4 linked regions of the Lonchura striata genome follow. The protein of the gene in region 1 purifies or fractionates together with the protein of each later gene. This does not show direct contact. Links are inferred from orthologs where the notes say so. Each region holds a gene or a part of one and is shown in the gene's direction. Other genes may lie near its edges. The genes, in order: CNOT1, OBI1, FHL2 and CAPZB.

Region 1 (7,725 bases):
TCATCCTCCCCTGGGGCACTGGATGGGGGTCACAGAGGATTCTGGTCTGACTGACGGAGGTTTCTCTCCTGCCAGCCCCTCCAGCTGGACAGCTGTCTTCAATGCCATGCCCACCATCTGCTTTGGGTTCCAGGTAAGGCCATGAGCTTGGCACTCCCCCTTCCATCCTATGGTTGCTTGGGTGACAGACTAAAACCCTGCCTGTGTAATTCGCTGGTTGATTGGCTAAAACCCTGCCCATGTGCTCAATGCACAGTTTTACAAGGAAACTGAAACCTTTTTAACATCTCACCACCTCTGAATGGAGAAGGATCCATTTTACCCCAGCTAGAACGTACAGGGCATCCTGTACCTCCAGCTTTTCTTCTCCAGTGACAAACCTGGAGTATCACAATATCACAACACATGCTGAATATCACGAGTAGGATGCCCTGTGGTCTGGCCATCATGTATCCCCACTGTCTCTGTGTCCTGGCAGTGCCACGTGAGCAGCGTGCCCGTCTTTAACAGCATGAAGCAGCCGGAGGTGAAGACCTGGGGGGCAGTGGTGACAGCAGCCATGGTGATTGCTCTCTTCGTCTACACAGGCACTGGTAAGTGAGGGGACACCGTGTGAGTGTGGCACAGTCCTTGGAGTGGCTGTGAGCTTCAGGAGGGCAGGGACCCTCTGGTCAGCAAGGGTCAGAGGGAGAAGGGAGGAGAGTCCATCGGACACCTCTGCAATGTGCTCTGTGCTATATCCATCTAAGTCTGGTCCTTCAAACAGATGTTCAGGAGACTTGTCCTTCTCCCCTGCTGACTGCTCCTTTCCTGACAGGCATCTGTGGCTTCCTAACCTTTGGAGCTGGCGTGGAGCAGGACGTCTTGATGTCCTACCCCTCCAATGACATCCCTGTTGCCCTCGCCCGGGCTTTCATCATCCTCTGTGTGCTGACGTCCTACCCCATCCTGCACTTCTGTGGCCGGTGAGCGCTGGGAGAGATGGGGCTGATGTGGGAAGGAGGAGCAGCACAAGGAAACCCCTCTGTCCTGGGTCTGTGCCCACAGGGCTGTCCTGGAGGGTCTCTGGCTCCGCTATACCGGGGTAACAGTGGAGGAGGACGTGGTTCGGGAGCGGAGGAGGCGCCTGCTTCAGACCATCAGCTGGTTCCTCCTGACACTCCTTCTGGCTCTTTTCATCCCTGATATTGGCAAAGTCATCTCTGTCATTGGGGGCTTGGCCGCCTGCTTCATCTTTGTCTTCCCAGGTAGGGCATCCTGTGATGCTTAGGGGCTGACAAAGCTCTCATGGCCTTGTGTCTCAAAGAGGGAGGGACAGGATGGAAACACAGGAACCAGGAGATTTTTAGAGGAGGACAAAAATGTGGTGTGGGGCCAGTCAGCAGCCCAACTATTTTGACTGGACATGGAGCTCTGTAACAGGGAGTGCAGCTTCCTCTTTTATAGGATGTCTGTTCAATCCCCAGTGGATAGTTCTCAGTGGATAGTTCTCATCTGGTTCTAATGTGCCTTCCCTACCTTTCAGGGCTCTGCCTGATTCAAGCCAAGCTCTCTGAGATCCAAGAAACCAGGGCAATCAGGTAACTGAAATGTGCCTCCCCTCTCCCCCATTCCCCTCAGGATATTGGGGTGAAGGACCCCTCTAAATACTCCCTGTCCTCCTGCATCCACAGCTGGTGGGCCCAGGTCAGCTATGGGGTGTTCATGGTCACCCTTGGAGCCTTCATCTTTGGACAGACTACTGCCAATGCCATCTTCGCGGATCTTACAGCCTGACTCCTCCAGGCTGGACTGCACTGCTGCTGCTGAGGGGATGGACATTTCCCCTAGGACCAAAGGGAAGTGGGAAGAAAACATGTTGGTGTGTTGGGAAGATCCAAAAGAACCGTTGTGACTTGGGGCTTGGCTGAAGAAGCCCTGTGGTGGTTTGTATCTCATTGTCTTAAGGCTGCAGGCAGTCAGGCTTCTCTCAGCCCTGGCTCCCTGGTGAAACCAGAGCAACACTACAAGGGGACCTGTCATCCTTCTGCCCCTGGGAGTAGACATCACTCCCTTAGACATCACTAAGGGGTCGTGGCTGGGGTTTGCAAAGCCATGCTGCTCTCATGTATGTACCCTTGTTCTGGTGGAGCTCCTCTCCACAGCTAAAAGTCCTTCTCCCAACTTTGCAGAGAGAAGCAGTGTTCTGCATAAAGGGAAATAGTAATCATGTTTATCAGACAGGGAGACACCCCATAGTCCTATTTTGTGTCAATGTTTGGTTTGAGTTCTGGTTTCCTGCCGGTCTCCTGCCCCTACGGTCACATCTCCCTCTGCCTGGGCTGCACTTTTTTACAAAGGGTTGCCTTCAGCCTGTTCAGGTTTTTTCGTTTGAGGATCAGAATGCCCCTAAGGTAGGGACATGCCAGTGCATTGTTTTCCTTGCCAGGGGTTGCTCACTCAGTAGAGAAGCTGCTATGGCTGCATCAACCTACTGAAGACACTACAATAGAGCAATGCTCTTCTCCAGATTTACAATCCCGTTCTTCCAGGTGTCCAGGAAATGGGACTGGGCCAGGTTTTAAGAGATGCTTTTGGGATAAAGCAGTCAGTATTAATTTGTTTTATATTGTTCTCTTTTTCATTTACACTCTGTGTGGCTGGTGTTGCTCTGGGCTGTCCCTCTGTTGCCTGTCTGGATGATAGTTTCATTCCTGCTTTTTCTGGGTTGAGCAGTTCCCCCAGCTGCAGATTTGGTTGGGAGCGTTAAACCTCAATAGCATTGTTCTCTTGTTTCTCTTTGATTTTCTTTTTATGTTGTTTGGCTTCTAAAACCCTTGGGGAGGAGGAGTTCAGCTGTAGCTGTTGATGCATCTGCGACAAGGGTTCAGGCCAGATTTGTGCAAAACCTGGCCCTGCACCTCATGCATCTTCTGGAAGCAGCACAGGCTGTTGTGGTGGGAAGGAGAAGCATGGCTTGTGCTCCTACACTTCTCAACGTGGCTCTCTCCCACTGCAGCCAGTGGCTGCAGGAGGGGCAACAGCCCATGGGTGCTTCCCTGTGTGGGAATGTTTGGTCTTTCCTTACTAACACTACGTGTAAATGGGGACCTCTCAATTGCTGATTAGGACAGGAAGACCCAGATAGAGAAGGAGGAAGAAAAGCCCAAAGCACAGCAGGAATGTTTGAAAGATGCTGTGAAGGCACAGATCCCTCCTTCCTCTCCCAAGGGGTCTCCAGCATCTGTGCCCTCATCTTTTGACAAAACCAGGCTCCACCAAACCCCCACTTGTATGGCACCGGCTGTGTCCCAAGCCCCTTTGCCAGGCTCCTGTCTGTGAGCAGGAGCTGGGGCTTGGGGACCTTTTGGCATAAAGAAGATGGCCAGTTGTCCTGGACGTGGGGAGCAAAGAGCCACCTCCCATGGAGCCCAGCAGAGATGCTCAGCAGATGCCAATGCCAAGATGCCTCCCAGTGCCCACCCTGCAGGAAGATGAAAAGGTTTGGTACCTGGTGGGTCCTGTGGCTCTGGTTTGCTTGAATGTGTGCTAGGCATGAGGTGCCTTGGCCGAAGTGGAGGAGGACACGATGTTTCATGTCACCTGGGAAACACCTGGGCTCCCTTGCTGCTCCCATGGCTGAGGGCTGGGCAGGTCTGGAGGTGCTGTGGGTGTTCCTGTTTGCCTTACTGCTCCCCTGTTTACAAACACTGGCCTTTTAACATGTATTTTGTACATGCAGAAAGTGGAGGTAACTAAATAAAAGTGACATTGTGATGCGTGTCAGGCCAGCATCAGGTGGTTTCTGTGGGAGATACTCCCGGCTGGGATACAGGGATGAAGCCATATCCTGAAATGCCATCCCAGCCCTCCTAGCTTAGGGATGGATGGTGTGGAGCTGGGAAGTCCCGCTGCCTTCCTCAGACGCTCATCCTCCGGGGTATCTCCGCGCCCAGAGCCGGGGGATGCCAGGGAAGGCTCTGTGGGCCCCGGTCCTGGAGCGGCACCTCAGTGTCGCTCCCCGGGGCCAGCAGGCGGGTGTGGTGTGGCTGAGACGGGCGGGAAGGAACTGGAGGGAGTTTCCTCTTCGGGAACTCAGGCCGGCCATCCGGGAGGGTGCAAATGGAGAGAGGATTTCCTTAGAAAGGAAAACCCGCGGCTGGAGCGCTCTGAGGGAGCCACAGCCACCACGGTGTGGGGGGGCAGCGCCCGGGCCGCACCAAGGCAGCGGGAGGGGACGCCAGTTCATGGGCCTGTACCACAGCGCTGAATGGGGGGGAACCGTTCCTGGGGTTATACCACCACTGGGGGGAGGAAACAACGAGGTGCGGGGGGAACGGGGCGGGCCGCACCACTCGGGGAGGGGTACCCCCCCGCCATGACTCCGCGCGCCCTTTGGCACCGCCCGCCACTTCCCCTTCCCGCCCCGCCCTCGCGCGACGCCCCTCGCTCATTGGCCGGCCTCGGCAGCGCGGGTTGGCCGTCGGCGCGCACGCGCAGGCCGAGAGGGCTTCGGAGCTCTGATTGGCTGAAAGAGTAGGAAGGATTTCGGCCCCTCGCGGCCAATGGCGCGCGGCTCAGGCTCCGCGCGGAGGGCGGCAGGATGCCCTCCCCCGAGGTCGCGCGGCGCTGATTGGCCGGCTCTCGCGCGGCCCCGCGCTCTGATTGGGCGAAGTCGTCTCCGCGGGGGCGCGGCAGCTCCGCGCGCATTCCGCCCCTCCGCTCCCCCCGCGGCCCCCCCCGCGAGAGGACGGGGGAGGGGAAAGGCCGCGGCGCGAGCGCGCGACCCCATCCGCCATTTTGTATCGGAACGGCGGCGGCGCGAGAGAAGCGCGCGAGCGGCCCCGGCCCGGCCCTCACGACACCGCCGAGGTGGGAGCGGCGCCCGCCCGGCCCCGGGGGCTGCTCTGGCTAGCTGTGGGGGCACTGCGAGCTTCGGGGCGGGGGGGGGGTCGCGGTGGGGACGGGGCCGGAGGCAGAGGGACCGGGCCGGCTTGCGCCGGGCGCAGCGGAGTCCGCTGAGGCACCCGCCCGGCCGGGCCGCCCTGCGGGGTGTGCGAGAGGCAGCGGCGGGACCCGCGGCCCTCCCCCCCGCACTCCTCGGTGCCGCGGCCGCCCCTGCGCGACAGAGGGAACTCCGCGGGGTGCGGGGCGGGAGCCGCGGGTGTTCCCGGCTCGGTGGCGGGGGCAGGAGGCGGCGGCGGTGTCGCGAGGTGGCGGGGAGACCGCCAGCTCCGGAGCTGTGCTCATTTCTCCCCCTTGGCTTGTGTAACGCCGCTGGTGACAGGTGGAGCTTTGAGGACTCCGGGCCGGGCCTGCCCCGGCCGGCCTCGGCGGCCTCAGTAGGAGATCGGTGTTGTGACTTGCCCGCAGAAAATATGGGAAAAGTGAGCTCTAGTAAATAATCCGGCCACGTAACCTTCTTGCAGACCACAGAAGAGAAGTCCTTCTCAGTGCTGTCCTTCAGTGAAGAAAACACTGTCCAGTAAAATAGACTTGTCTAATTCTAAACTAGAAATAGCAACAGTTGGGTGTCTCGACAGATTCTGTATCACTGCAAGAGCTTCTTTACAATAGTTTCCTAACTTGGATTAGTACCGTTTATTCCTTATATAGGAACTATTCACAGTTTAATTTCAACAAACCACAATCAGTTTGGACTGTATTTACAACAGAAGTGAGGTAGTACTGCAGATACAACACTAGTCTGTTGGTATATCGTGTACTCAAATTGTTTCTGAATCCCACTTGTAAGGAAGCATGGCAACTATTCTCAGGAGCTTTTTTTAAGCAGGTAACAAGACAAGTGTGACTCTGACAAGTCACTCTTAGTGTACCCAACTGATTCCTGTTTCTAAGGTAACTACTTTGGCATTGGCTAAAATCATGGGCAGGGTGAGTCCAGGTGGGATAACTCTCTTGTAAACAGGAAACAACCTTAGTTGGTAGTAGACTGAGCTGTCCTTTCTACGATTTTTATTTTGATTCTTTCAGCCTTTTTGCTTATATGTTCACTCTTAACTGCTGTTGGCCTGGTGTCTCCAAACCAAACTCACAGCCAGTTTATTGCCTACCTACGTCTCTTCTTTGGAGAAATACCTTATCCTTTTTATCCTATATAGGGTTCCTAGATTTTAGATTTATGCTGAAATGGCCACTCTTGGTGCTTAGCTGAGTAAGTGGAAGAGAAACTATGGGAACATAACTTAGCGATAGAGGACAGTAAAGTTTTGTGTCCCTGTGATGGGACATAACTAAATCATGTTAGGAATTGTTATCACTGAGAATCATAGTTCAGGCCATCACTATTTTAGCCAGATTTCCCTTTTGTTCCATAAACATCCCCAAAGTATGAACACTGCAGTTTTCTTTGACTTTAAAAATAGAATTTAGCTATTCTAAAACACATTTTGGATGGTAAAAAACCATGAAGCATCTGATAACAAGTCCCTCCTTTTTGTGCCTCCAGCAGAAACTTAATTCTGCAGGTCTTGTCTGAAGGAGAACTGGGAAGTGAGAGTTTCTTGTTTTTTGGGGTTTTTTTTAACAGTCTTAGGTAGAGATGTGAAAGTATCTCACATCAGAAAGTATCTACAGTAGCCATGTCATGTTTGATGCATATCTCATGTATTTGGTGTAGATTTCAAACTGCAGCTTCACTGGCCTGACTGTATAGGCAAAACTTAGGTGCTTAGTTCAGCCACAGTCTGAAAACTAAAGTTACTGTGTCTGATCATCTTTTGACTTCCAGTTTACTGAAATTGGGTGCAGCTTTCCAGTGTATGGAATGTTCAGATGTCTTTTCAGATTGTATACACCTGAATTTGAACTGGTCAATTGAATCAGGAGCTTATTTTACTGCTAATGTGACTTTCACTCTGGGGTTTTTTCCTCAGTAGTTTTCAAAGTGGTAGACATCCTGAAATATAAAGTATAGTATGATTCAAAACCACCTTTTTCCCTTGGATTGCTCCCAGTGTTGGCCTTCATGTAGGTGTACTGCTCTTCCATGTTTTGTATTTGTTCATGGGTTTAAAAAGAGGGTAAGAGACTGTTCTGGAGAGCAGGTTTAGCAGTGGTCCCTTTAGCATGTTTTATGTGATGTTTTGTGACAGGAGTTTAGAACCTAATCAGCAAACACAGTGCTGTTTGTGTCACTTGATCTGTTTTATCCTCCACATGCAGCACATGTGCCCTGAAATCATACAACTCTTGAAATCCAGCGGCAATAGTTACTGACTTCTGCAAAATTCTGAAAAAAAGATCCAAAGTTAGCTTAAAGTAATTGAAATTTTGAAATTACTTCCTTTGTAGGAGTGTTTCTGAATTTGTGGAAGACTTCAGGTTTGTCGACTTCAGCATCAAGGCTTACTTGCTCTCTAGTGATTTCTGGTTAGTAGGGAGTGTCTTTGGTCACACCTGATGGGTGGTTTCATATTGGCCCACTCTATTTTATGATCTTTGGATGTTTGCCTGAAATTTTATTGCATATTTTCATATTTTAATCCAGCAGAACTCTGCTCTTGAAAAAAGATCTACTGAAATAGATGACAAATGTCTTTTGCTGATGGGCTGTCATTTTCCTTAGGAAGAGTTGAGGGTGTGTAATGCTGTAGAATTTGGTAAATATTTTTTATCTCTTTAAAATGGATTGTGTTTCCCAGTATAAAATAGTAATATTGTAAGAGCTCCTGAGTCCTGTGCTGGGTATCTTAAACCATTACTGTATTATAGGATGTGTGACTG
Region 2 (6,940 bases), on another chromosome or scaffold:
CTCTGTCCCAGTTCTCTTACCTAATGGCCAGAGATTGATATTCTGGCCTCTAACATTCATTTTATTTCCCTTCCAGAAACACCAAATTTTTTCTGCAGCCAAACCCCAAAGCACTGTTTTAAAGAGAGAGATGAAATTTGCTTACATTTTAAAATTAAAGCCACATGGGAACTCCCAGAGAGCAGATGGCAAGAGCAGCCTACAGTCCTCAGGCAGCATAGACAGGGGTATCTGAGAGCTACATATTTCTACTGAATGGCCTCTGAATGGCAGCCAGTGAGTCCCTGAGATGGTGTCTCACAACAGGAGCCAGTAAGGCCACCGCTCTGCAGGGCTCCTCAACAGTAAAATCCTGAGGAAGGGGAAGCTGTTTTCACCCTTTAATAACCACAGGTTTGAATTAGGCACCTAGAACCCAATGCTTCTTTACTCAGTTTGAGGCAAATTTCATCCTATATTCCCCTAAATCATGCAAAACCACCTGGGAAACCCTTTTATAAAAGCTGAAGATTCATCCAGTCTGGTTCTGAAGAGAAAGCTCTTCAAAGCCAATTTGAACAGACTTCATTGTTGCAGAAGTGGACACTGAGGGTGAAGAGTTTGGCTATCAGTGGTTTATATCTACTTGTGTTGGTAAAAAAACTGACCTTTAGGTTAGGTTTTCATGGCATAAAGCCCCACATCTAAATATATATATATTCAAATCACTGGAAGCAATGCAACTGTATTAATTATCACTGGGCTAATCAGCCAAGAAGACAGACATTTCATACCTACACCTGCTCCTTCCTCTCTCTGCACACTGTTGGGAAACATGCACAGATCCAAAATACAGGAATTGATGTACTTTAAGCCAAAAATATGTTAACTTTATTAATCTTTATGAACTAAACTCAAGCAGAAAAGAAATGTCTTAGTTGTCTGATCATTTTTTCTTGTCCTATATTTGTTCTTTTGAAGCTCTCACCAAAGAACTTTCCACAATTTGTGACAGATGCTATTTTCATATTTCCACTATAATTCCTCTCAGGTTTCTGAGATTTCAGGAGCAGGTAGTGAAGTTGCTGAAGCATTTCACAAATGAAGCCCTAATACTAGAAGATCATTCACAGTTAGAGTCTCGGCTTTTAACCCATCTTTTTTCTATAGGTTTACCAGCACTGGCCATATGGCTGGAAAACTGCCTGACTCTTTGATCCTTTTGCCCCAGTAGCAGCAGAGGTATGCCAGGCATTTCAGGAATTGTTTTCTCTTTCATCCTGGCTCCAGCCCTTTGAAAAGTATCCTTCATGCTACATGGACTGTGGTGTTCAATCCCTTGGACCTGTTAAACATTTGTTACCTCCTGCATTTACATGGTATTTCTCAGCTCCCCTCAGCTGCAGCAGATTGTTACCCCTCCAGCTCCCTTCTCCTTGCTCCCTGAGGTCTCACTTTCAGTACTACAGAACTAAGTATTTTCCATACCCCTGAAAAGTTGGTAACATCAACCCATAAATTTCAACAAAACCTGAGGCGCTACTAGATCACAAATAATTTTTTAAGTACTCCTTCACAGTCTATGCATACAACTTCAGCAGAAATCCACTAAACAAATACGTTTAACCTCCTTAAGAGAAAACATGTTCCTTTTAGCAGCTTATTCAGGAAAATAAACTCCTTTACAAGTTATTTTTGTTTGAGAGAAAATATATTCATCCCAACAGAGCTTTTCCTCTAACAGGTCACTTTCCAGTTACATACACTTTTTTGAAGCAGTGGAAGTCATGCCTTTGAAAGGGTTCCTGCTTCATCCCAGATTCATTTAAAGGAGTTTCACATGTCAAATGTAAGATGCATTTCCCTGCTTTTGATTTCTCTTTCATGCATTTACCCTTTCTACTCTCGATATTGTCTATTCACATTTTTTCAATAAAAGTCAATATAAAAATAAAGCTAAAAAAGATAAATAAGAGAGATTCATTGCATTCCTGTGTAGTTTGCTGGCTGCACAATAAACTCACTGAATGAATTTCAGGCTCCAATGGCTCTCTTTTAAGCTCAAACATCTCAAAAATTTTACATTTCCCTTGAAAAAATTTCTCTTACCACCATTCTACCTAAGCAGCATGTCAGTGGTACCAAGACTAAAAGAATCTCCTCGAAGTGCATGTCCACTCACTCCAGTCTATCTTAATTAATGATATGTGCATTATGTTGGTAAATTATTCTTTTCTTATTTGACAGTACTTTTTCCTGAAGTTTACTAAAAAGTGTTGTAACATGTAAGCACTCAATTTTTATCAAGCACACCTTATTCAAACCCGCCCTCTCCTACTCAAGCATTGCATTAACACCAAATCCGCTAGGTCTTGTCTATGCTGGAATGTCACCATGGATTAGTTCTCTCGCTTTATTTGCAGTGACTTACCTATACCAAATTGAAATGCATCCGTGCAACTCTGCTGTGTCAGTCTAAGATACTTTCCTTGTTAATCATTGCATCCACAACTTTTGCTTGTTTGAATCAGCTGCTCAGCATTATAAGCATTTATCTTGTGGTGCAATGTTGAATCACTCAAGTCTGTAATTTTCAGCATGCTGTGGCACATTTACAAGAAACTACAGGAATCCTGGGACTGAGGTCAAGCAAGCAGATTCCTAGGAGCCTTATATCCCCCCAGCAGTGCTTCCCCGCTTTTTTCCAGCAGCCCAGAAAGTGCAACAGAAAAGCTCCATGATTTGGAGAGTTGTTGGCACAAGCTGGATGGCAGATGCAAAATTTTCATCCTTAGATTTGGCCCCTTGGTTTCCATGGATCAGAGTCTTCCACATGGTATCATCACATGCAGCACCTTGCAGGGCATGAGGATTTATCCCAGTCCTCATTTTTTTTGTTGCTCCCAAAGCTGCGGGCTGTGCAAATCCCACCTGAGCTGACTGGCAATGCAGTGGGGCCAAGAAGCAAAGCTGCCTGTGCAGTGTGGGAACCCAGCAGTGATGTGAGGCGTGAGACTGCAGATGGACTGGCGGTAATGGGGAAGGGGGGCTCATGCCCTGGGAGTTTCCCCTAGAACACAAGAACATGTTCCCGTATCCCAGGAAGGACAAAGACTTGTGGGAGTGAGACCAGAGGAGGCCACCATGTCGGTCAGAGGGATGGAGCACCTCTCCTAAGGCTAAGAGAATTGTGATTGTTCAGGCTAGAAAAGGATTCAGGGTGGCCTAATTGGGGCCCTCCAGTAACTGAAGAGAATCTACAGGAAAGATGAGCCAAGACTATTTACAAGGGTACACAGTGACAGGAAAAGGCGGAACGGATTGAAAAATTGAAAGAGAGTAGGTTTATATTAGAGATTGAGCGGTGAGGCACTGGAACAGGTTGCCCAGAGTTGCGGATGCCGCATTCCCGGGAGCGTTCAAGGCCAGCCCGGATGGAGCTCTGACCAACCCGGTCTGGTGGAAGGTGTCCCTGCTCATGGCGCGGGGGATGCACCAAGATGGTCTTTAAGGGCCCTTCTATCCCGAGCCATTCTATGATCCTGTAATTCTATTCTGTAATTCTACGATTCTGTGATTCAGGACAGTTAACAGAATTAAAACAGCCGTTTATCTTTATTCAACATGATGAAACCTGAGCACAGCAAAGGTTTACCAGGGGAAAGAAGACCATCCTTGCTACCGCGTCGCCCTCCTGCACAGGCACTGTGCCTGCGCTCCCCATGGCGCCGTGCTTCCCCCAGGAATGCCGTGCGCAGGCTGAGACCTGCCCGGGCTCCCGGGCCGCGAGGGGCCGCGGGGGGCCGCGAGGGGCCGCGAGGGGCCGCGAGGGGCCGCGAGGGGCCGCGGCTCCCGCCCGCCTGCAGGGCAGCGCCGGCACAGCGCGCGGCGCTCGCTGCGCCGGGCGGCGGCTTGGCCTCGCCGGCTGCCGTAGCGCGGCCGGGGCCGGGGCCGCCCGCGGAGTTCCGTGCCGCCCGGCCGGGCCGCGCCGCTCGGGCCCGCATGGCGCAGCACGGCCCCAGCGTCACGCTGTCCCTCACGCTGCCCATCACCTGCCACATCTGCCTGGGCAAGGTAACGCCGCTGCCCGGCCCCGCGGGCCGGGGCTGGCTGCGGGGGGCAGGGAGGTCGGGCCGGCGGCGGCAGCTCTGGGGCGCTCTGACCCTTGTGGCCGGGGTTGTGTCTTTTAAGGCTGCGCGGCTCCGTGCGGGGAAGGGAATTGGGGTGTGCGCCGTTCCCGGCGGGGGCCGGGGCTTGCCGGCAGCCTCGGGAGGTTGGGAAGCGCGCGTTGTCCCGGCGGGATCGTGCCGGGAGGTGTAGGATGGGCCTGGAGGGCCCCAGGTATGCCGTGTGCAGCTCCCGAGGGGCAGGTGCTGGCGTCTGGGGGCTTTCTCCCGTTACCAGTAGGGTGCTCCATTGTAAACGCTCGGGGAGCCTGTGTTTGAGTGTAGTGCTGTGTCGTGGAGGACAAGTGAAACAAAGAGGGGGCGTATAAGCAAGCAGATTTCTAAACTGTTCAGCAAAACTGCAGCAGTCTGGACAAAAAGTTCCCGTTTCCTCTCCGACCTTTTCTCAGTCCCTTTTTCTTTTCCCTCGGGAAGAAGAGGGCTCTTACTAGTCTGTTCTTCTCTAAAAGCCCCAGAGCCAATTTCATGGCTGTCACTAATTGCTTCTCAAATTCTTTGCGCATTCCTTACTAGTTTTTTTTTTTTCTCTCGTTTTCTTTTCTTAAAGCACAACATAATTACAAGTGAAGAAGTAGCCTTTTGTGTTTGTACTCTGGCACGTATTGTCTGGTTTGTTTCTACCTCACCTGGCCTTCGCTCCCAGACCTTCTCTGTTGGAGTGATAATAAAAGAGCGGGAGCATTTGGTGTGTGAAGTAGGCGTGTAGCATTAGTAGTGAAAGTGATCAGAAAGTGGTCCCTTAAGTCTCAAAATTCTGACAGCGTGTTACTTTAAGCAACCACGTTTACTCATTTCTTGGGTTTTTTTTTTTTTTGTTTTTGTTTTTGTTTGTTTGTTTGTTTGTTTGTTTGTGGAAGCTGAGCAAGATTTCCTGGCTGTTGTCATGTTAGTTTTCTTTTTTCTGTTTATCTGTCTAATGAAAATGGAGTAGAACCCAAGTGTACTCTGTATGTAATGCAGCATGGATACCTTCCACTCTGCAAAAAGTGGAGTGAAAAGAGGAGAGTGAAATTAAACTGACAAAGATATTTGCTATTTGTTCCTAGTTAATTTCTGATCTAAGCACTTAACAGTTTGGTTAGGTGTTCATTCATATCTTGCTGTAAAGCCACTGAGTTATTCCAAGCCACTATTTCATACTTTCACTTCCTTTTTAGATGTTCCTGAGTTTGTACTGGAAGAGGCTTCCACCCTCTTCCTTGCTCTCTTGCACTGAGACAATACATTAACATATATAAATGAATTGTGAATCTATTGGTGATTAATGTAATAAAGATATTTAAATGCTCTCACTTTTAGATGTGTAAATCTGTTTAAATTTTGACAAAGCTGACAACTCTGACTGCCCTTTCTTTTTAACAGACATCTTTGTCTCTAGTTTGGAACTTCATTGAAAAAGTTCACCAGAAAAACCCATTTTCTCAGGATTATTAAGGTTGGAGAAAGGAATTTGTTTAGCCTGTGTTAAGGAAAAAATCTTGTCAGTTTTTATTACCTTTTAGGGGAGAGCAGGGAGTATCATGGAGGGTTGACATAATACTGATACTTCTGTGGTTTATGGCATAGACTTCAAATCAAGTAGAAGGCCTACCCTAAACTCAGAGTGTTTCTCTTTCTATCCCTGCAAAATTTGCAAAGGTTTGACTGCAAGATACAAACTATTCTCTGTGCATTATGGTAAGAGGATAAAAAAGGAAATGTTGAAGAAAAATTCTTTTAATGAGTTGGCCACTCATTGTTCTTGATGGAGCTGAAGTCTTGGGTAGCAGGGACACGTTAGTCCATTTTGTTAACATGAACAATGTCAGAAAGTATATTGGCAAGATGTGCAAATAACCATTTAAAGTAATAGTGAATTGCTTGTATCAATTTCATGTTTGTTACCTGAATATTCTTTTGGTACAGTCTGGGCCATCTTCTAACACAGCTGCATTTTTTAATTAGGTAGCAGATCAGAAGCCATCTGCTTCAGACTGTTTTTCTTGTCCCAGAATGTTTGGAGGTCTCTCTTGTTGGTTTTGGTGTCGACAGGTTGCTTGGGCTCAAGACGCTGTTCTGTGTTGGTTGAAACAGTGTAGGATATCTGGGATTGGTTCACTGACTGGGTGTGTCTGATTTTTCATGTGCCTGCTCCTCCGTTAGTGCTGCCTGAAGGCCCAGAAGTGCCTTCAAAGTGAAGTCAATGTGTACAGGATTGGATGTTGATCTGCATAGGGATGGCATTATGTTGGAGGTGAAAAATTAGGAAATAGCTCAAAATTACCAAGCTGATTAAGCCTTCTGAAATAAACGGTTGTCTTTCTGGATATTATGGTCAATGAATGCACTGGAACTGTGCTGTAATTCAAGTAAAATGCTTTTTTAGTAGTAGGTATGTCCTGATCTCCTACCCCCTAGGCTTGTCACAGTTGGTGGGAGGGGCAGTGGCAGCACCAGCCATTGTGTGACATTTCAATAGTGGCTCTTGCTGTTCTGGTGTGCCTTGCTTTGTGTGGATCCTGAGTGAACTGAAGTATAAAACCCCAGCCCTGAAATGAAACTTGTAAAGGTGTGTAAATCAGAAGCACTGTACCCTGGAGAGTAATACATGTGACTTATTATTTTGCTAAAGATATAGAGTAATCATTCATGTGTGATTCTGTGTCAGGTTTGGGGTAACTGAGGGTCTCTTGCTCCCCAGGGGGAAAACCTGCACTCATGAAACGTCTTTTCCTGTTTGGATTATTTTATGTTGCTCTGCTCTGTATCTTATCATCACCATCCATGCAGCTATT
Region 3 (7,743 bases), on another chromosome or scaffold:
GCAGGAGTCAGGAGGAATTTCAGGGACCAAGGTCCCTGCTCTCCTGCTGAGGGGGCTGCTGTAAGATAGCCGGCTATAGCACAGCAGAGCCTATCTCCAGGATGAACATGGTGAAAAGGGACCACTTTACTCTCCTGCTTTTCTGAATGGGACTGCAGGCACTTTGGAAGAATCTTCACTGTTCCGGACTCATCTTTTGTTTCATGTTTAGCGACCAGAGGTCTTGACTTTTTGACCCTTTGTAGGGCTTCGAAGGACTCAACCACAAGAATAAGTGATAGCCAGCTGTTCAGAGACCATGATGGCAAGTAGAATAATAGTCTAGGCCCAAAATGGTACACTTTCCTAAACTGAGCTTGTCAGGATGTGAAAGGGAATGGCAGAAGTCCTGAGACACACAAAGCTGCTTCGCAGCTTAATGCGGTCCTCTCCATTGTTGATGTGTGAAAGCATGAGATATCAAAGGAATAAATAAAGAGTATTGGAATTCATTAATTAGCTAACATGGAAATTGGAAAGTTATAACTGATGTTCATTTACAGAGGTAGAGGCATCACTCAATAATCAGATCATAACACTCTGTAATAACCCTGTGTTTACATTTGTTTAAAAAATGTCTCCTGTTATATGCCTCTGTTAAAATGATGAGGGAAGAGGAAAGACTGTATTGTTTTCTTTGGTATTCTTTATTGTCACAGTCTCCAAGGTGAGCATTTTTGCATGTGAATTGTCTCTCTATAATTTTGTTATTAATACTATTGCTGTTTATTTTCTTATCTCATTGCTGTTTTCAGTAAATTTTTCTTCCCTCAAGCTGTTGTCTTCAACTTTTGTGCCTCCAGTTCTTCATTCCATCCCACCACACGGGGAAGCAGGAGGGGAAGTGGGACCAAGAGAGAGCAGTTGTTTGAGAGAGTCTTGGTGGGGGTACTGATTTGGAGAGAACCATTCCTAAACCATGGCACTGAACAAGCACTCTCCCAAACTGTGCTCAAAATAGTACTAGTCCCCATGCACAAACTGGTCCCAGTACTTTATTTCCCTTAATCATTAGACAGAATTCTTCTTGTTACTTGAATTTCTCAGGCAGATTTCATGCCCTCTTATCAAGAGAAAAAAATGCCAAGTAAAGACCATTTTACACCCCAAATGTAGCAGAAGGCTTCTGTTGAGCTGTCCTGTTTATTTGAGTGGTTTCTCCACCTTCCCACACCAAATAATGCTGCTCTATATTCTAAGTTGTGAGCTCTCTGTGGTGTTAGACGAGATCTTTTTGTGGAAAAACCCACAGATATGTACCATGCCCTCTGGCCACCTCTGTTAACTCCTGTACTAGTTTTTGTCTTGGAAGTAAATGGTTGGAAACACAGAGACTCAGCCTGAAACCTTCTGACCATGGAGAAAGCTTTCTGTGATACCACAGATTTTCTTTCTATGGTGACTCCAGCTAGAAGATCCTCTCCCACTTTCACTAGTAGTTTCCAATGCCACATTCTCACTTGTGCTGCTACATTTTTTTGGGGGGGAGCACATGCTGAACCAAGCAGGAGAACAAGCTGGGTTATATTATGATTTTTTAAAGAGTATTTTGAGGTGGCTCAGTGGCTTCAGTACAGACCCAGGCAGGGCTGTACTCACCCATCTGAGCCAGCTCTGTCCTGTGTTGTGGTAGCAGAGGTGGGCATCTGGGGGGTCATGCAGGAGGAGAGTTTTGGAGAGATGGAGTAGGTTTTGTTGACAGTGGTGTAGCCATGGGGAGAGTTATCCATGGAAACACGCACCATACATTGAAAAGACCAGCTAGATTTGCCACCTACGAATGCCACTTTGTGAAGGGACATTAATATGTCAGTGAGCATAGGAATGGCTTTAGGAGACTGGAAAAAGGCAAATTAATTGCTTCAGGAAAAGTTTCTCAAAGTTTTCCTTTCTTTTTGAAATCAAGATACACCATACAGGAGGTGAGGCACTTGGCACTATGGTTTAGGGGTGATTATAGTGATGTTAGGTTGATGGTTGGACTAGCTGATCTTGGAGATCCCTTCCAGCCTTGATGATTCTTTCATTCTGTGACAGAAGTCTAAGCTTGTAAGACAGACAAGCTTTCAAGCACACTCTCTAGTAGTACATCTTCATGCAAGGGGAAGGTGTGAGGCTTACCTGAGCCTGAATACCTGGGCTGGCTTAACCCAGACATCTTTTCACACATTGGCAAGGGAGATTGTGATGTAGAGTACAGCTTCATCTGGAGCATACCCCGGGAGAAATTAGCACTGGCAGTACAACTAACCTTCAGGCTTATCTCCACATGAGGCTGAGTTGACAAATGACAATCACACCTTTGCTGCTTTTTTATCAGTGACAATTTAACCATCCCTTTTTATTTGCCTGATATTGTGGAAAATGACTGATTCCTCAGGAATGTGGTGGTCACTGGGAGTGCTCAGGGCTGCATTCTGGGGACAGAAAGCAGGGAAACTGAAGCAGCTAGAGTATGACAGATTACTGTCATAATCCTAGGTTACAGGCTTACTGTCATAACCCAGGTTACAGCTACCACCTTAAGAGGCAGTATCTGTGGGCCCAAAATAAGACAGATGTAGCCTGACAGGTTAGATATGGGACACAGGTAACTCCTGCTGGTTCTTTCATTTGTCTTTGTGGGTGAAGTTTCTCTATCATCATTTACAAATGTCATATGTGACCTTCTATACATCTCAGATCTACACTCTGGTTCCCCACCATGTGCCTGTAGCTATTAACTTCAGTTCTAAAGTGCTGAAGAGCTGTAACAGGCATTTCTGTGATACATATGAATGTCTGAAATCCTGGGCCCCAAAGTTGTTTATTTTTAGGATAGATATGCTTGGCTCCTGCTTCTGAAGCAGGCACTCCTCCATCACAGTTGTGGCCATTGCAACCCATGCTCAACTCACACAAGTTTAGGTTTTCTGCTCTCCTTGATAGAAGACGTAATATGATGGAACAAGAATTATCTGTTTGCAGTAGAGGAGAACTGCAAACAGAGGGTTATTTGTCATACAGGAGAAGGAATTGTGAGGGCAGACTTGGCCATCAGCAGACCTGGCAGGGATGGCCCTGCTGGCACACTGCCATGCCTTAACAGGGTTACAGAAGAGAGAGATGCAGATGCCTCCTGCTGCAAGAGCCAGACCTCACCTGGATGTGTGGCTATAATATGGTCTCAACAGCTCTGGGGAGTTAGTTATTGCAGGGCTGATGACTGGTGAAGAATGCAGACTTTTTTCCAGGATATGAAGTCTTGCACTGTATTAACCGACCATTCAGATAACATAAAATCATATTTTAAAATCATTGAAGCATATAGATAGAGGTGATTTCATTTGTTTCAGAATAAAATGTACTGAAGGGTGACAAAAATCTCCAGTAAAACACTAAAACCTCCAGCAGAGGCCTGAGGGTTGTTAAATCACACCCAAAGGTGGGGGGGGGGGGTGTTAGAGCTCCTGCTCGGAGCATTACTTCACTGTGGAGAGCCACCTGCCTATGGTCTGAAAGGAAAAGAGCTGTGACCAAATGTGAATAACTCAGATTCATCCTCCCAGATTCATCTTTCAGACCACCCTATACTTTTACTTGAGGGTCCTCAGGCTTAGTGTCAACAGCTAAAGGACAACAAGTGTTTGAGTTTTGCTGGGCAGTGGCTTCCAAATTATGAAACTGATTTCCCTGGAATCAATTCCTAAAGTCTTAGCACGTGTCTAAGACCCTGGGCCAGAAAACAATTTAAACATGTGTGAATGCCCATTGGCTGAAACATGCCATGAGTTCTCAGTGCTGAGAACAGGCTTTTGTCTCTTCCTAGGACTGTTGGATCATGGGCTCAAAAAGCAAGGTAGGGAGCTGATCCCAGAGGGGCAGTGGGATGGGCAAGGATCCAAGTGCTAAAAATACAGTGGCCTCCTTGACCTGCAAACAGAAAACATTTCCTCCCATTCACTCGGTACAACTTTGGTGCTGGGTGAGCCTTATGTGGGGAAAGAGGCCACCACTTTCTGCAGGGACAGCAGGGACAGCAGTGATGAGGATGCAGAAGGAGGGCATCCTTGCAGAGAGCTGTGGCTGCCAGTCTGGTAAGTAAGTGTATGGCACTGTTTTCCCATTAAATCCCTATTAACTCAGTTTTAAAGGAGAGCCTGTGCAAGCGTGTGTTGTAGAGAGGCTCCTCGAGGCAGCTCAGGTAAGCAGTATGCTTTATAAATTCTGCTTTTAGTGTCTCTTTTTTAAGATTCTGCTAACTTAACAAATAAATCACATTTTTTAATATAAGTGAGATTGAGATTTATTTAAACTAGAGAATGGTTGGAAATTCAGGTTTTGATTATTATTTTTCCTCTGTACTTCAAATTAAGCGTGGGCTATTAATGGCAACACAGAAGTTCTTGTGTAATGCAGTTTAAGCTGGGTGCTTTAAACCATTTAAACATAGAGGATCACATTCACCTTTCTACAAAGCCACTAAAGTGATAGGAAATAATATTTAAATATTTTTTTCAGACCAAAACATTTTCATTAAAATTAATATAGTATGTTTATAAGCCAAACTAATTTTGCAATAAATGGTTTAGTGTATTTAGTACAGAGTATTTATATGGTTACAGATAAAGCAAATGCATCATTTTGCTAGCTATTAAAAATACTTAATAATTTCAGTTGGAGTACTCAGCTGTAAGAGCTGTTTTCCATTTCAGTGAACTTTATGCTGTGGAGAGGAAAGAAATGATTTCTCCACATGGCTGAGCATCAGGTTTCTTTGAGCATGGAAGCAGGCTTGTAAAGGGTAGGTGTTTATGCTTGCTTGTTTCCATCGAGAGTGTTCTCTGACATGCAAATGACCTTCCAGCTGCTAGCAGGCTTTAAGCAGATCTCCTTTAAAACCTTCTGCTGCAAGCCCATGTCAGCTCAGGCCAGCATGTGCATGGATTAGCTTTGTTTTAGCAGGCAGAGTTGTAGTTCCTTTAGTGCTGTGCTGCCACAGCTGGGTGAAAACCACTCAGTGGCAAAAGGGGAAAACTGTATAAATTATGTGCAGATCACAGGCTCTCTTGCCCTTTTCCCTCTCTGAATCCAGCTCCACCAGGGATGATTTCCACTTGAAGGCTGACTTGGAGCAACACTTTCTGAAGTAGTCTTTATAGTTAATATCTGGGAGGTTTTGTCCTGTTTTCTTTAGCAGTGCTCACTGTCTAAAATAGTGAGGATGTTTAAAAAGTGAGAATGTCCCTACACTTTTGAGTAAGCTGAGTGGTGCTTTGGGCGAGGTGATTCACTCAGCCAAAAAAACAGACACATTTTTGAAAAAAAATTATCTCTGCCTAGCAGGAGAAGTAGTTCATGGGTAAGAATGAGCAGCCAAGACCAGGATAAGGCAGTATTTATCTAAGCCATCTGATAATAGTTAACTAAAAGATGCCTGGCAGATGGCATGTTAAAACTGACCAGAGTATAATCTGGAGTGAAGAGAGAGGGAAGAGAGAAAAGCCAAAAGGAAGAGAGGAGGGAGAAGACTTGTATCCATCTGGAGTTTCACCCAGGATGGCTGAAACATTAATTTTTGGGCAGCTATACATGTTCCTGCTTCATAGAGTCTCTGAGGTATAACAGGAGGTACCTGGGGAGCACAGGGAGCCCCTCCCCAGTGCCCTACACTCCAGTCACACCTGTACAACAAATAGCTCTCCTGTCATGTCACCATTCATCTATGCAAAAATGACTGAGCGGATGTTTTGAGGGACAGCTAATGTTGCAGTGCATTGCTGAAAGGAAATCTACCCATGACAGCATTGCATAGTTGAACACCAGGCTTCCATAAATAATTAGGAAGGCAAATCTTTGCCTTTTATCTTTGTCACAGTGACTGGAATGCACCTCACTACCTCCAGTGATTACAATTCATGCAGCACTAAAACCACAAGGTATGCTTTTCACATGCCTGATGTACACCCCTCCACCCACCAGCATTGCTCATAAATGTCCCTTTTTTTCCAAAGATACCAGGACCCACTGGCAAAACTCGGAGACTCACCAAGTATTGCTTGAAACAACAATCTATTGTTAAAAAAGAGGAGCTCTTCACAAAAGACATGTCTGATAGGTCCAAGGAGTGACTGGTGAACTAAAGTATTTGGAATGTTTGTGTTGTGAGCATGATGGAAGAAAGGGTTCAGAATAATATTTTGTAGGCAGTAAGAAGTTTCAGTAGGAACTTTGCTCCACTAAAAAGACAAATACTGATAGAATCCAATTTAAACTAGGTGCTGTATTTATTACCATTAATAGCAGTTTTTATAATAATAGCAATAATCATAACAGCAATAATCAATCAATGTGGGATGGGCAGCCAGCAGCAGGGAAGTGAAGATGTAAGGTGATTGAGGATGAGTCCTAGACCACTCCCATTGTCTTGTGGTGTGTGTATGCTAAACTTTCAAAATAACTGGTACCAAGAAGAGGAATTTTGATAATGGCTACCAGCTTCCATGGAAAAAAAAAAATCTTTCTTATCTCTGCATGTCTCCACCTATGGTGCCACCACTGGTTGTTCTCTCTAAGTACCTACAACACAGCTGGCCAGATGTTCTTCACTCCTTTGGCCTTTATCACAGCACAGGGGTTGAGAGGAAAACCTTGAAAGGGTTTTATTCCAAATCAGTCTGGCACACTGTGGAAATGCACATAGCAGGGTGTTAATGCTGTCTAACCTAACCTGTCCAGGCATCTGTCCATACCCCTACTTGAGCTGCCTCTGGCCCAACTTCTGGAGGCCTCCATTAACTGCAGGACTCATGAAGTTTTTTTTATGGATTGAGCTAAAGATCTGAGTCAGGTATGAGCAGAAAAGGCTGACACAGTTCAGAAAGGCTGTTGAATAAGAACAAGATAACATTTTGTCAGGACATGTGTCAGAAATTGTATGTCTGCAGCTGATCTTGCCCAGGGGCAGAAGATCCAGCTTTGTTTTTCTGTGAATCTGTGGTGTTCAGTGAGTCCCATGGTCAGAAGGAGGCAAGCTGGAGGAAATCACACAGAACCTGAATTTCTCAGGGAGTTATAACAGCTTAGGAAAAAAAAGATAGCTTTGGGAAAATGTGAAGAATAGCAGAAATTTAAATTTTGAAACTTGCCTGAGGCATCACTTCTGGAAAAACCAAGTTGATACAGCAAGTAGTGGCTTGATGTGGCGTTATTCTTATATCTCTGTGATGTTCATTTTCAATAGAAGATGGTGCTAAGTGAGGAGGGAAGTGTGTATTTTTTGCTACAAAATTCAATGCCTTTATGACAGACCCTCATGAAAGGCTTTGGCAAACCTTGTCCTTGTGCCTGGCACAAACTGTACTGAACAGAGCGTATAAAGTCACAGGTAAGATTTTTGCCTTCAGCTATTTGCAAGCAGAGTTGGTTTAACATAGAGCAATTTGGATGAATTAGAGAGTTTAAAATGCTTCCCATCACCTTATCCTCTACTGCTCTGTCTCTCTGCCTGCAGAACTATTTTTATGGCCAGATCCTTATCTGACCTCTTTAAAAACCTTGGTGCAAGGGGTCAGACTGGTAGGCACTCATGTCTGCAGAAGTTTATCTGCTTGTGGCATCAGTCAATGTCTCATCTCTTAGGTTGCCACTGAAATTGTGCTAAGGTTGTTTGCTGATTGGAGAATATAACTTAAAGGTTGGCTGTTTAAAACATAGATGGCCTGG
Region 4 (7,301 bases), on another chromosome or scaffold:
TTAGCAGGCTTCAAATGAAGTGCAACGTGTCAAGGAAAAAGTAAGGGAATGGAAAATTTTGTTTCTTTCTGCTGTATTTAATCAGCTTCTCCTTGATTCTTTTTTAATGAAAAACCACAGACGTTATTGCTAGTTAATGACCAAGTTTGACAAGAATGCCCTCAATACTTTCTTTGCTCAGGCTAAAGACTCTGTCTCTCCAGTTTTCTGAGCTGAAAATACAAAGTTAAAGGAGCAGCTGCAAGAAGAGGAATGAACAGTGTCCTAGGATGTGCAGCTAAGTGGGATGTGCTGGAACACGAGGGCTCCCAGCAGTCCTGCAGTGAATGGACACCTTGGGCTGCTGCTGGGTTTATCCTTTCCATTAACCAAAGGAGCAGATCTGCTCGGGTGCTGATGGAGTGGAAAAAAGTCTGGTCCAACATTCTTAGTGCAGGGAGGGGAATGCCTCAAACCTCACACTAAATGGGCGATATGTTGTTTTTCATTAAACGTGGTATTTGGAATTACTCATCAGTTCATGCAGGAAATGGGGAAACTCTAAAAATTTTTAAATTCCAAGAATACACTCAGCAAAGCTGCTTTGGATTCAGGATGGGGACTTTTTATTGTTTGTGTACTATTTTGACACTGTGTACCAAGATCTCCATAGTGAGAACTATCTGTGGTTTGAACATAGAATTCCAAGACATTGGGTAGTGTTGTAGGTACCTTTTTCCTATATTAGTTTCCAAGAAACACTCGGTTTTCAGCCTCAGACCAAGTGATGCTGCTGTTTTACTGACTCTGACTAATAAAACCCAGCAAGCTAAACTTTACCATTGCTGGAAGACTCTTGCAGCAATAAATTCAATTTATGAGAACTCCCAATAAAAGTTTACATATCTTTCAAGTGCCATGAAAGAAAATGGGCAATCTGACAAAAAAAAAAAAAAAAAAAAAAAAATCAAGATGTTTCTTTCTTTATGACAAAAAATGACTATTCAGTGAAGCATGAAGGTTTTCTCTCAGACATTGTTCCTCAGCATGTTCTCACAGTCACCCTTGGTCCTGGATAAATGCTGGAATAAACAAATAAATAGCGTTTCACCACGCATGCAGGAGGATAAAATAAAAACCACATCGTGCTGGATCACAAATGCTTCAGGAAGTTCTGGCTGAATGTGAAAAGTACTTTGTAATGCTAATAAGTGTTTATCCTTTTGCTTCCTCGAATGTAATCAAATGTACAGGGAAAGCACATGGATTTTAGAGCTGCTGATTGCAGGATCAAAAGACTCGTTATTAATTGCACATGAATCTGATGTTGTTGGGCCCTTAAGATGTCAACTGACATCATTGTTTGCTTCCTTTGTTTATAGATGCTTGTTTTAGAGAGGGGTTATTCCTGCCACGAGCCCTTTGGAGTGTTCTTTCCTGTAGGTGGGTGATCCATTCCTGCAGGTTTGGGAAATGCCTGAGGCACAGGGAACCTACCTCACAGCACTTGGATTATGGAATATCCCTGATTTTGCTGCATTTGGTGTCAACCCCTCCACAAATCCCAACACAAGTGGGATGGTGGTGACATTCATGGACTTTCTGCCTGCTGGGATCCACTCTCCACACCAAACTGCAGCAGTCTGGTCCTACATCTTAATAAACAAACAGCAAAAAATCCCTGAAACATGGCCTGCTATAAACAACCAAAGCAAACAGCTGGTCCTCATTTGAAAAAAGATGTGACATCAATTTCAAAATGAATCTGCAGATCTTCTTAATGCAAATATTTTTGGGAAAACAAAAAGCAGCTGTTTATTCTTCTTTATACCTATTTGCAGGAGAACAAAATCCAGGATGCTTGTATTTCTTCCGCTAAGAAAAACATCCTCTTGGCCTCAACATTCATTTAGAGCTCAAATTGTTTGAAATATACTGGGCTGCCTAATTCTGCTATTGCTGTGCTGCTCCAGCAAGCAGCTAGGAGCTGTTTCTGTTCAAAACTAAAAGCTGCTACAAGTAGAATTGTCATTGAGTACTTTGCATGAATTTTGTGACAGAAAGAGGGAATTTTAGAACAGACATTTTCAAATTTATCAGTTCTGGCCTCCCAGCCCTGAGGAGCATTAGATGTGTGGATCCCTGGACAAAAATGGAATCATTTGGCCATTGTAATGAACAGGTTTGCTTTTCTTAATTACTGCTGGGAGGCAGCTGGGAGGAAATGCAAGGACTGGAGGAGGATCTGGGAACTGCAAAATAGGAGCCATTTGGGATTGCTCCATCTGACAAAGCGGATTGAAGGAGGTTAGGCTGAGGAATAGTGGCAAAGAACTGAATTTGGAGTCTCTTGAGCCTTCTGAGGTCATGTGGCTTCTCTCCCAAATGTGGAAGGGTAATTTCCCACCTTTGGGTTTGTTTGGTACTGTCTCTTGATGGAGTTTTATGTGGTTTTGTGTTTCTGTGGACGAATACAGTTCCTGTTTCTCCTGACATCGTTCTACTGTTTTCTCTCCACCCTTCCGGGTTCATTTTGTTTCTGCCACCGCTGAGAGCTGTTCTGTCTGCACGGGCTCCATTGTGGTGCAAATTCATGTAGTGCAGTCTTGTCTCTGGCTATTGTAACCCGATCCACGTCCAAGCTGTTCACTGCCCTGGAAATTGGGGTTGTCTGTGACATCCACAGGACAAGCCCTGTGTGACTGCAGAGTCTGTGACATCCACAGGACAAGCCCTGTGTGACTGTTGTGTCTGTGACATCCACGGGACAAGCCCTGTGTGACTGTTGTGTCTGTGACATCCACAGGACAAGCCCTGTGTGACTGCTGTGTCTGTGACATCCACAGGACAAGCCCTGTGTGACTGCTCTGTGACATCCAAGGGAAAGCCTTGTGTGACTGCTGTGTCTGTGACATCCACAGGAAAAGCCCTGTGTGACTGCTGTCTGTGACATCCACGGGACAAGCCCTGTGTGACAGCTCTGTGACATCCAAGGGAAAACCCTGTGTGACTGCTCTGTCTGTGACATCCACAGGACAAGCCCTGTGTGACTGCAGAGTCTGTGACATCCACAGGACAAGCCCTGTGTGACAGCTCTGTGACATCCACGGGACAAGCCCTGTGTGACAGCTCTGTGACATCCAAGGGAAAGCCTTGTGTGACTGCTGTCTGTGACATCCACAGGAAAAGCCCTGCGTGACTGCAGAGTCTGTGACATCCATGGTACAAGCCCTGTGTGACTGTTGTGTCTGTGACATCCAAGGAAAAAGCCCTTTTTTCACCCCATGTTGGCATTTCCAGCTCCTACAGCAAACCCAGGGAAAGGCTTTTGGCTCCCCAGGGCCAAGTCTGCAGTACAGAGTCCCAATGGAGGTTTTTTGGGGTCTTGGTAATAAAACTGGGGTGAAACAAGGCCTGACCTATTCCATAAAAAGCTGCAGAGGAAGCTGTTGGTGCTAACGAATCCTTACATTTTCCTGGGATCATTGTCTGCTGTAGCTCTGAGATTCCCGTATTGAGGACAGGCCAGGAGTCTGGAATTGGGATGTCTTACCTGAAATCCCTGCAATGGGAATTACTCCAGTAAAAGGAACAAATGCTTTATTTTGAGACAGTCTGAGTATAACAGGAATGCTTTATTAGTAGATATACCCTGATTTTCTGTGATCCCGTTATCCCTGGCACAAGTGCCTGAGCCCTGAAGGCCTCCAGTGTGTCAGCATCTGCACGGCTTCCAGCAGGTACCTCCCAACACCAACACTTCCTTTTCAAAATAATTCACGATTACTTTTAAAATAATAAATAATTAATAATTATCCCTGGCCTTAAGCAGCTGGAGGCTGCTTCTTCTTCCACATCACTTTAGACCTGGTACCTTACAGGCATGCATAAAGTGCAGTTTACCTTTGCAAAACCCAGCTTTACGAGTTTGCTACTCGTTACCTCTTCTGGGCGGCGTCTGCCGTGCTACCCGCCTGCCTCGTGCTGCCTTTCGTTTAAAGCTAAAACAAGTGCGTTTAAAGGCGCTCGAGGGAGCGACGTTCCCGCGCGGAGGCTCCGGGACCGACTGAGGGCCGGCCCCGCGCTGCGGGCGCGCCCCCCGCAGGCCCCGCCCCGGGCCGGCCCCCGCGCTCTGATTGGCCGCCGCGCTCACCCCCGCGCCGCAGTTGGTGCCGCCGTGCGCGCCGTCCCCCCCGCGCCGGTGGCGTGGTTCGCTCCGCCCCGCCCCCCCGCCCCGCCGCCGCGCATCCATACTTGGCGATGGCCGGCGAGCCGCGCGCTGATTGGCGGGGAGCGGCGCGGGGCGGGGCCGGCGGCGCTGACCCGGATGTTCACTGCCGGGCGGCGGCGGAAGCGGACGGGCCGCGGCGTCGAAGCGACAGGGACGGACCGGGAGGCGCCGCCGTTCTACCGCCCCGCGCACCCGCCCAGCCGACATGGTGAGAGCGGGCCGGCCCCGCGCCCCCGCCGCGGCCCCCGCCCTTCCGCACGGCCCCCCCGCAGCAGCCCCCGCGCCCACACCGCCCCCTCGCACCGGGGGGCCTCGCCCGGCCTCCCCCGGGCGGCGGGGACGGAGGGAGGGGCGGCCCAGGCGGTGCTGCCGGGACGCGGGGAGGGCTGGCCCGGCCTGAGGGCGCTGCTGCGGGGGGGCTAAGGCTAGCGGAGGCTCTGCCCGGCGCACCGCAGGGCCCGGGGGCGGGGGGCTCCCCGGGGCTCCGCTGCCCGGTCACTGCCAGCTCTCCGGTGCCGGTCCCGGGCGGTGCTCGCAGAGGGAATGATGTGGAATTACCCAGGGAACGGTTCCGCTTCGGCGGGGAGCGGTACCGGGGGCGCTGCCCGGCGGGCCCGGCGGCCGTGGCTCCCCGCAGGAAGGCCGGCTGTTCCCCCCGTGCGGTACCGGGAGCGCTGCGGGGCACCGAGAGCCGGGCACTGCCCGAGCAGCGGCTGCTGCAGCCCTGGTGCTGCTCCGCACGCCCGGGAACTTGCCTTTCCCACGGACCAGCCCCACTTGCCTCAGCCGTGTGGAATAATCTCCGTCCCGCTGTGTTTCCCGAACGGATTGGCCCGGGGCACAAACCCTTTCGGTGCCACTTTGGTGCTGTGCAAAGGGAGCCGCTCCAGCTGCGGGCCCAGGCCCTGCTCCGCTCCCTGCCTGCTGGCCGGGGCTCTTCCCGAGCCTCCTCAGCCATGGAGTCACTTGTAGGGAATCACATCACTTTGTGCTGTTGGGGATTTCTGATTCAGGCTTTCCAACATGACAATTCAACAATGTTTGAATGTGTTTAGTTCATAAAAGATCAACCCAGAGCCTGGCTCTACAGCAGTGTGAAGTCTGTTTAACCACACGAGTGTAATCCTTTACTTCTTGCCGTCATCCATAGGAATTTCAGAGGCGATGCCTTATGTTTTTTCTCTGGAGCTGGAGCCACCTGTATCATGCAGGATAAAGATCTTTAATGTGAGGTGAAAGGTGAAGAACAGTTATGACCAAAGTTCTGTTCCTTATTGGTTCAAACAAGAGCAGGTGCCATACCTGAGTCCTGGCAGGATGGAGCATCTTATTCCAGCTGTGTACCTAATTGTAACACACTGAAATCTGTGTGTGCAAGACCTGACTGTAGAGTCTCAAACTGGGATTCCAACAAACTGTCCTAACTTATGCCACTGCAAAAATTGTCACAGGAAAAGAGTTCAAAGAAAACAAGGAGGCTTCATGGAAAGTAACAACAGTGGTACCAACTTCTTTGAATGGGATATAAAACGTGCTGTTAGGAAAATCCAGTCAGGGTTTAAATGTAACTGTGTCAGTAGTTTGGAGGAGGTACAGCACAAATCCTTTGGAAATTTCCTGACTGTTACCGGGTTTTGCTGCTTTCTGTTTTTTTTCATGTTTAGTTGTGCAAACCACTGGGCATAGGAGAAATTGGATCAGAACTTCCAACACTATGTGCTGGTTTCCAATGTTGAGTGGACTTCAGGGATGAACCTGCAGCCTCCAGTTTCAACTCATGTGCAAACCCAGCGTGTAGGGTGCTTGCAGGATCTTTACTTTTAATGGTCTGAGACCAGAAGTGGAGCGTTGAAAGGGTGGAATGGCCCTTTCATTGAAGGGAGCAGTTGGTATGGTGCAGGATATTGGGTGAGACACCTTCATGGTACCACAGGGCTACCAATGTCTGTGTAGAGCAGAGCTGGGAACCTTGGTCTCCTCGGAGAGCTCGGAGCTGTGCCCACATTTCAGTCAGGTGCTCAGGGAAACAGGGCAGGGCAACACATGAAGCTTGAAAACTGCCTGGATGGATGGTGTCTCCTGTGCTAAAAATAAATGGAATGCTCTGTTCAGGGCAAAGCAGGACTTGGGAGAGTGGATCTGCTGAGATTTCTGGAATTGTGGGTTGTGAATGGATGGAATCCAGTTACTCTTTGTAAAAATAAAACCCTTCATTTCCAGGTTATGTAAACTGGCCTGATCGTGTTAGCAAGGATTTCTTCTGCTATGCAACTCTTGAGAAAAAGGAGGACAATTTTAACAAAATTTATGATTTAATCATCCATAAATTCAGGCTGTCTAGTGTAGTGCTGGCTGTGCATCATCCATCTAGGATTTGTGAGGCAGATATGGAGCAGTGAAGCACAGCCCAAGGTGTGTGATGTGACAGTGACACCAACACGCACCTCGTGTGCTGCTCAGGGTCCACTAAGATTTTCAGGATAGGAGTTGTTTGTCTGGAATCAGAACCCATCTCTAACCTGGCTGTATCCCTCTTGGACCTCCAAAATGTGCTGTGGAGGTGTGGGGACGTTTTCAGTACCCACAGCAAGTCCTTTGCACCTTGTTCCTTTTGAGAAACACCAACTTCAGCTGTTTTGTAGAGTCTGTGTTTTATTAGGCAAGCCAAGTGTGTGAGCTTAACTAAATGTTATCTTAAACGGCAAATTCCCAAAATAATCAAATCAGAGGATATCACTGGGAGAGGGAATACTGCCATTGCAGTGATGCTTAATCTTGTGGTTTATTAGGGAGGCAAAAACATTCACAAGCTGAAGTTGTTCAAACAGGATTTCCTCATATGGTAAATATATATGCTGATATGAGACTAATTCACATCTGGGAGTGAAACAGAATGAAAGTGCAGCTCAGCTCTTCTGGGGGCCTATTTTTAGTCCTTATTACTGGAGTTGAGTTGAGAAATTACTTTCTTTGGGAAAGAGACCATGCTGCCCTTCTCAATGTCTACTTGCACAGCTGTCAGCTTTGCTTTCCATCCATCCCTTGACTTCCCTGGGTGAAGGATGGCTGGGGAACTCGGTTTGCTCATCAT

Evidence for each region.
Region 2: the proteins of CNOT1 (region 1) and OBI1 purify together in Homo sapiens (affinity purification with mass spectrometry; 3 studies listed by BioGRID and IntAct, with this or other methods). This does not show direct contact. The link is inferred for Lonchura striata from reciprocal best matches to the Homo sapiens genes CNOT1 and OBI1.
Region 3: the proteins of CNOT1 (region 1) and FHL2 purify together in Homo sapiens (affinity purification with mass spectrometry; 3 studies listed by BioGRID and IntAct, with this or other methods). This does not show direct contact. The link is inferred for Lonchura striata from reciprocal best matches to the Homo sapiens genes CNOT1 and FHL2.
Region 4: the proteins of CNOT1 (region 1) and CAPZB purify together in Homo sapiens (affinity purification with mass spectrometry; 5 studies listed by BioGRID and IntAct, with this or other methods). This does not show direct contact. The link is inferred for Lonchura striata from reciprocal best matches to the Homo sapiens genes CNOT1 and CAPZB.

Annotation. Positions count from the first base shown.
Region 1 is NC_134615.1:16,321,888-16,329,612, forward strand, and holds the start of CNOT1 (CCR4-NOT transcription complex subunit 1), read left to right. Parts: upstream 1-4,721; 5' UTR 4,722-4,851; intron 4,852-7,725. Other genes in the region: SLC38A7 (sodium-coupled neutral amino acid transporter 7), read left to right, coding at 76-133, 479-593, 818-965, 1,048-1,247, 1,526-1,580, 1,674-1,776.
Region 2 is NC_134604.1:48,208,410-48,215,349, forward strand, and holds the start of OBI1 (ORC ubiquitin ligase 1), read left to right. Parts: upstream 1-3,928; 5' UTR 3,929-3,981; coding exon 3,982-4,053; intron 4,054-6,940. UniProt on the Homo sapiens protein: E3 ubiquitin ligase essential for DNA replication origin activation during S phase.
Region 3 is NC_134604.1:89,246,690-89,254,432, reverse strand, and holds the start of FHL2 (four and a half LIM domains protein 2), read left to right. Parts: upstream 1-4,738; 5' UTR 4,739-4,822; intron 4,823-7,743. UniProt on the Homo sapiens protein: May function as a molecular transmitter linking various signaling pathways to transcriptional regulation. Negatively regulates the transcriptional repressor E4F1 and may function in cell growth.
Region 4 is NC_134626.1:7,422,638-7,429,938, reverse strand, and holds the start of CAPZB (F-actin-capping protein subunit beta), read left to right. Parts: upstream 1-4,301; 5' UTR 4,302-4,415; coding exon 4,416-4,418; intron 4,419-7,301. UniProt on the Homo sapiens protein: F-actin-capping proteins bind in a Ca(2+)-independent manner to the fast growing ends of actin filaments (barbed end) thereby blocking the exchange of subunits at these ends.